2 linked regions of the Caenorhabditis elegans genome follow. The protein of the gene in region 1 purifies or fractionates together with the protein of each later gene. This does not show direct contact. Each region holds a gene or a part of one and is shown on either strand. Other genes may lie near its edges.

Region 1 (4,241 bases):
AGCCCACAGGTCTTCGCCGCTGGAACGTGTTCTTCGTAATTCTCAATGTCCCTCATATGCTTCAGTCGCAGTTTTCAGTAGGATTTGTATGTCTGCGTCTCTCTATCACTCCATAGAAGTCTTAAACTGTGCTCTAACTCAAAATATTGAACATTTAAAGGCGCATAGAGTGTTGATTTCTATTTTTGGAAATTTATTCGTGCTAACTGTGAATTACAAGTTTCTGAGAATTCTTGATATTCGCTAAGTTTTTTTCAGTTTTTTATTTGTCATTTTCCAAAAGAAGCCATTTCAGAAAAAAAAAACTACCGTAAGCTTTTTCGCAGCGAGACCCATCCGAATAAATGCGTGCGCCTTTAAATCATGGCTACGATAGCCGAAAAGTTTCGCTCGTGCCAGGACCTAACATCTCTCAAAATTGGCTTTTTTAACGTATTTTTAAAAATTCTATTGTAGCAAGCTATACAGTTTGCTATACAGTTTACAATGGGTTCGATTTTTTTCTAGAAATAATTTTTTTTTCTTACACATAATAAAATCTTAGGCGATAATAGAGATAGGATAATAAAAAAAAGTGATTAGTACAATGAGATTTATGTGTTTTTATCTGCTGTTCGCGAGAGAAAAAAAGTGACGAGAAGCTAATTTAGATACTCGAACAGTGTAAAAGAGAAAGAAAAGTTCGCGAAACTTTGACCTTTCGTGCCAACTAAAATTCCGGTCCGCGCGCTCAAATGGCGCAGTGGTGAACACGGATGGCTCAGGCCCAGAAAGTCAATGGTTCGATTTCTGCAGAGGAGTTTTGACGATTTTCGATCATTATCTCTTCTCCGTTCCTACTTACGTTCCTCAATTTCCACCCATCATTTTTTACTATTCTCTCACTTATTTTCCCTTTCACTCTCACTTTTATTAAGTGTTCATTTTTTGTCTGTACTCATTAAATCACCTGTAGTACAACGAAAATTCGGGGATCCAAATATCGGAACTCGACAGGAAAATCTCTTCGGCTCCCTCGTAGCTCGACGGGTTCCACTTCAAGAATTCGTCTTCCCAGTACTGCAATGATCGTATATTAAAATAGATAGTAGCGCGCAGCCGACGTTTTGCGGGCCACGTCGGATAAGTTCTTGTGTCCTATGCAAACTTTTTCAGTTCCCTCGGTTCCAGTGAGATCTATTTTTGCAGTTTTCTACCGCCACAAACTGCTGTAACATTACATTTGGCCCCCAACCCGCCCCCTCTTAACTTCCTCGATGTGTTGGCCTTCCCTTATCAAGTACTTGTGTCAACTGGTCTTGAACGACCTTCAATATTCTCCTTCCTTTTCGCCAATTTCCATTTTTATTCCCAAATCATCGTTTTCGATGTACCTCATTTTTTGAGTAGCTTATTACGGTCATGCTAATTTGTTGAACCCCTCTGTGTGTGTTGAACCCCTCAACAGCCGAATTTCGGCGGGTCCTGTAGTGGTTATCACGTCTGCTTCATACACAGAAGGTCGCCGGTTCGAACCCGGCCAGGACCTACTTTTTTCGTTTGACATGCTTTTGAGGAAACAGGCGCGTCCTTCAAATGGAATTGTCCACTTGTATATGCGCGTGTGTTTATTCTCACTTTCGTGTGTATTTCTCATTACTATCGGCGTTTGGCATCGTGTCGTTTTGGCATTTGCGCATCTTTTTATTTATTATTGTATTCTCACTTTTCCCCCCTCCCCCCTTTCCCCTCCTTTTTGCTTTATGGATCTAATGACCCCTCAAACATTGCAGACCATGACCAGGATAAACCTAGTTTTATTTTTATCTTCTTTAGCCGTATGTACCTATTCACAGACCATGACAAAAACAAGTAAGTTTCGCATTCTGCGGCACATCAATTCGGAAATTTTCAGTAATCGATTTTTGCTCTCCGTCCGAACCGAATTCGTGTGGTCCCGGCGGAAAGTGCATGGAATTGTCACTAGGAAATCGGTGTGAATGCCCATTTGGACTTATGGGTAGAAGATGTCAAAGTAACCAGTTTTCGCGTCGAGACCCAAAAACCCAATTTTTTAGGACCATGCCAAGATGTCTACAAAAGTTGTGCTCGGTGGAAGTCAGAAGAACGCTGTCACTGGACGCGGCCGATTTCTCCATTTTTCGCTGACAACTGTGCTTTGTCCTGCGGCCAATGCAAAAATAACGGAAAGCGTGAGTTTTGTCATTCCTCACAAAATGTTGTCCACTGACAAAATGTAGGAAATTTTATGCTAAACACTTTATCAGTTGACAACTTTTTGATAGCTCTTTTGGACCCCAAGATATTCTTGTTTTTTCCAGAGCTGGCGCTCGCTCTTCCACCAATTCTCGACAACATTGAGTGGTTTGTGGGCAGATGGGAGTCAAAGACAAGTGCTCATCATAGGTAAATAAGAATAATTTTTGAATAGGTTGGCATATGTTCTATAAACTTTTAGATTTCCGGAGCCAATGTCCGGACCTTACAAGGAAATCTTGGACGTTCAAATTTCGGAAGTTCCCTCTTTTGACAGACCGCCGGTTAATATTTCGTAAGTCAGAAAAATTTTATGTCTATCGTGTGATGTTATTCGATATTTTACTTGTTTTGTTTGTTGTTCAAGGGTTTTGAGCTTTGAGGTTTTGGCATTTTTGATGGGATGTATGCAAATGCGCCCCGATGAATAACAACCTACAACTTGTAGAGTGCGAGCCGAGACGCTTGATGGGACCGATGTCCACGTGGAATTCGGATTTTTGACGTCTAAACCTTTCCACGAGGATACGGGTTTTGTGGAGTTGAACAAACCGGACGAAGGGGACGATTTGGTGTCGATTGAGCTTGTGACTAATACAGGTAACGGTTAATTTTACGCTGCGGAATTGTTCTCGCTAACCCACGGCATAGCGACCCAGGTCTCGGCAAGTGGTCTATGGTCTCAACTTTCTGTCAAGCTTTGTCACCTTTCTAGAACTATGTAACAAAGAGGGGGTATAATGAAACAGAAAGCTAGCGCTACCGCTGTCATTGATTCTAGGGTCGCGGATAAGATGACCAAGCCGATGGGCAATCTAGGTTCCTAAAGGAGCACACTAGGATGTCAGGAGTGTCATTTGCCGGCTAGTGTTATTAGCCGAGAATCCCAAAATTTTCGGCGACACGAGACGCAGACCATTTTCTTCACCACCCACTTGAGCTACAAATTTCTTCAGGTCTAATGCTCATCGAGGAAGGAACTGTGCGCGGTACCCAAATCCGATTGGAAACCAAATATAAGAAGGGAATGGCTGGAGTGTTCCGAGACGAAATTGTCAAGTCAAAGAGAATGTTCAATTTGATAAATGCCAACTCTTTGGAAGAACGGGTTGTGATGGTTGATGGCCGTGGAGTTACAACCAAATGGTTGAAAAGGTTTACCGTATGATCTTGAGAAAGCGCGGCAAATCTAATGACGTCATATTTTTGTAAAATTCTTTTGCCACGTTTTCTGCACATTAAAATACACTTGCTCGAGATCAACCTCAATTTTCCAGGTACAAAAAAGTGTTCAACTACATGACGGATCTTATCCCGACACCCGTTGAGAAAAAGCGAAAGTCCCTGTAAACTCACCAACTCAAAGCTGCCCGACAGACTGATGGTGTTCTTGACGGCGTCCTGAAATGATTTATTGAAACGGGTCTATTTTATTATTGATTTTTTGTTGTTGTAGAAATTCGAAATAAAAACTTACCAGCTTAACGATTTGATACAGGAATACGCTCATCGAAACTGAGATCACCTTTTTCGGATGGGTCACTGGACGTGTGCCTTTTCTGAAAGTTTTGCAGGTGTAAAAATTGATCAGGAAGACATTTTTGTTACGGGGCATGCGACACCGCACGGGTTGCGTAGGATTGCAGTGGAAGTTAAAAACCCGCGAGGTGTCGGCCACGAAGTTCAAAAGTCCCTTATCTAGGTCATCTTTTTTGCAGAAAAACCGTACTGTATATACATAATCAAATTTAGAACTTTGTGCCACACACTCCAGTGCATTCTCTCATTGAAAATCCATTTTCATTACCACTTTCTCCGGACCACGGAACAATTGAATTCGGTGGCGCGCAAGAAACTATTTGCTAAAAAGGAATTGAGAGGGGCTTAATTTAATTTTTCACCAGAAGCCGAACTCTCTTGTCGATGGTTTTTTTAGTGAAGGAGTTCTACTAGAGATAGGAATAGAGTCTATGAAGAGATTTTGA
Region 2 (3,128 bases), on another chromosome or scaffold:
GTCTGCAGCAAATGGAACAACTCAAGCAGTTAACAATGGCAAATCTGTAAGTTATATAGAAAAATCACTGGAAAAGCCAGGAAAAATCAATTTTCAGGGCTCAACACTTCCAACCAATTCATCTTCTGGATCTTCTGATTCATCAACATCACCATCAACATTCACAGTTTCTTACAACAACACAAATTCCTCTATCACTTGCATCGAACCATCCCTGAACTTGACCTACACTTCCAGTCCAACTTCTTCACAAATCAAAAGCAGTTATTCTGTCGGAGAGCTCATCACTCAAGTTTGCCCGCAATCTTATGTTTTTGAAATTGCACTGCAACCTGTGAAGATCTATAAGTGCTTGAAAACAGGAAAATGGGCAGGATCACCAGAGAATTGTATTTGTAAGTTTTGAAGTATAAATTGTTTAAAAACAAATGTGTGACTTTTTCAGATGGAAAGAGTGAACTAAAATTGCCAACAAGACTTTAATGATTTGTTAAAATTTTAAATCTATGTCCGGAAATAAATTAATTTGTGTTACTCTGAGAAACTTGACAATTAAAGTTTGTGAATATATTGAATACATCGGTAAAATATTTATTTAGCTTAGGCACCGAAACGCCTAATTTTAGAGGCGTAGGTCAACTTAAAGGCAAGTAACTTGTAGTGCACTTTTGTTGTTCAAAATATTCTGAAAAATGTTTAAATGTGATCTTTTAGGGTATTCAGACACAATCATTATGCATTTCGGTTCCAATTAATGGTTTTTTCTTCATAAATTTCAGTCAAAACTTGGGAAAAATATTTTTTTTTAAATGAATGTACTGTGAAGTTTAGTATTTATTTTATTACTCATTTTCCTATTTTTGAAAGAAAAATATATTTTATTCCAAATACTCAATAAACAATCCAAACTCCGCCAGTAGATCTCATGATACAACCAATATTGTCATATTTATCGGATTTCTTATCAACTTTCCACATTTGAGAAGAAGTGTCGCATACAAGAGACGCCGAGATTGAAGATGAACCTTTTTTGATCTCGAAAAAGTATATTTTTAAAATTCAAAAAAGTTTTCTCACGACTAAAGGCTTTGTATCTGCCTGTTCCGTTAAATTTCCAGAAATTCCAACTGCAACATATCCACTCCCATTAGTGTCAATTTGACAAAGCACTGAAACTGGTTCAGAACATTTAAAGTCTTCTTTTGTAACATTTGTCATAGCGGAAAATGAATAAGCCGGGAATTGGCAACATTCTGGAACTAATAGATATAGTTAAATTAAAAATGTTTTTATGTTTCCTACTTTTTCCCAAAATTGAAACAGGAAGTGGTAACAGAACCAAAGCGAATAAATAATTCATGTTTTTGCAGTGAATTTTCTTCAAAATTTTGGTTTTATAGCATCTATTTGAACACATTCTATTATGGAATTTGAAACAAAAAAAGCTGACGCACAGCGATGACTAATCGTGTTCAAATGAAAATTATTGAAACGAACAGATTGAACAGAAATTCAACGGAAAAACAAAGTTGAACTTTCCATACTGAAAATTTTTAAAACATACATAAATTCAAACTTTCCTCAAAACAAAATTGGAGTTCTGTTTATACAAGTGCTCTTTACTGTAAGCATATTTTTTTGCGAAATCATACAAGTAATTAATCGGAATGCATTTTTCCATATCATGAATTTGAAGGAAATCTCGCCGCACCTGCTGCTGCAAATCGGTGAGCATTATAAAACCTTTTGCGTCCAGTGGTCGTAAGTCATACATAACAAACCGACCACACCTCGTTTCCAACACACAATCGGATATACCAAGTTTAGACAAAGAGGATTCAAGTCATTGTATTATGCCTTTGCCAATGAACAGAGAAGAGATATCAAGCGGCCTCTTGTGGGTTAAATGTAAACCATTTGAAAACGTTTTAAAAGCTGAAATTTTGAAGAGAGCAAAAGAATGAAACTTGCAAAATTCATTCATTAAATAAGATCAAGCAGGGCTCTATGGATTGTACTCGAGGGTTTTCTTATCAAGCCTTCTTTGGGTTGAACTCGGTTGGGAGTGGACCTCTACCTCCACCAAATTTGGTGCACTTTTAAACCTAAACATTTTTAACAAGAGAAAAAACAACGAGCTTTCAAAATTCATTTATTGAGCAAGGTCGAAGAGGGCTCTATGGGTTGTACTCAATTGGAAGGTTCTTGCGACGAACCATACCGTCTCCTTGGAACCATTCACGGCGGAATTGCTTTGCAGCTCCATCCGGGGTGTTGGTCCACTCAACAGTAATACGGTCGTTGTTAGTGTCCTACTGTCCAAAGGCGAAGGCATCACAGGAAACAGCAAGAAGGACTGCTTCCTTTGGGTCCAAAACTCCACATGGTGGATCAACTCCAAGTCTCTTCATATTGGTGGTCTTGATACCGTATCCAATACGGCGAGCCGAGGAGTTGATCACCTTGATGTGGTAGGTGTGCTTGTCATCGTATGGTGCATTGAAGACGATCTTCGTACCCGGCTGGGTCTGGATATCTCCTGGTGGGACGGATTGGGCACTGGCGACTTCTTTGTAGAGTGTGGAAACTTACAGTGAAGATTATGGTAAACTCTGCTCAATTTATAGCAAATTTCTCTCTTATCTTTGTCCCAGATCTTTACAATAGCCACGTCACATAAAGTTCAGAAAGTTAATAAATTAATTTAATGATTTTTAAAATCCGTGAAAGAGTTAAATTTTAGGAATGATTTTGAAAATATATTTTTAATCTATTGCCGCACAGGTCTTTGGCTTCAGCATAACTATGCATGAAAAAACATGAAAAACCCATCTTACTCTGTTCGGCCCTATCAAAAATCTCTAAAAAATGTTTCACTAGATATTTTTCAAATTTTTTGAATATTCCGACAAGAAAGCATCTCATTTCATATCTTCAATTTGACGGAAGTTTAGTTATAAGTTCCAAAGTAGTTTTAAAGTTCAAGGCAAAAATTTAATCGGATATTAATATGACCTTTTTCCTGTTTGTAAACGTTTGTTTTTCAAACATCTCCTTTTTTCAGGAACTGATCTTTGGGTTGATAACACATTTTGAATTTTCAAAATCCAAATCCTTACCATGATATT

What was found.
Region 2: the proteins of F21A3.3 (region 1) and F59A6.12 fractionate together in Caenorhabditis elegans (co-fractionation; one large-scale study listed by BioGRID). This does not show direct contact.

The regions. Positions count from the first base shown.
Region 1 is NC_003283.11:15,515,941-15,520,181, forward strand, and holds F21A3.3 (EGF-like domain-containing protein), read left to right. Parts: upstream 1-1,772; 5' UTR 1,773-1,775; coding exon 1,776-1,851; intron 1,852-1,894; coding exon 1,895-2,014; intron 2,015-2,057; coding exon 2,058-2,192; intron 2,193-2,321; coding exon 2,322-2,406; intron 2,407-2,458; coding exon 2,459-2,551; intron 2,552-2,704; coding exon 2,705-2,856; intron 2,857-3,212; coding exon 3,213-3,411; intron 3,412-3,533; coding exon 3,534-3,606; 3' UTR 3,607-3,612; coding exon of another isoform or gene 3,613-3,657; 3' UTR 3,658-3,733; downstream 3,734-4,241. Other genes in the region: lgc-31 (Neur_chan_memb domain-containing protein), read right to left, coding at 950-1,059, 3,613-3,657, 3,734-3,815.
Region 2 is NC_003280.10:5,010,697-5,013,824, forward strand, and holds F59A6.12 (C6 domain-containing protein), read right to left. Parts: upstream 1,383-3,128; 5' UTR 1,361-1,382; coding exon 1,303-1,360; intron 1,254-1,302; coding exon 1,078-1,253; intron 1,036-1,077; coding exon 892-1,035; 3' UTR 827-891; downstream 1-826. Other genes in the region: F59A6.3 (Sushi domain-containing protein), read left to right, coding at 1-46, 98-395, 446-483.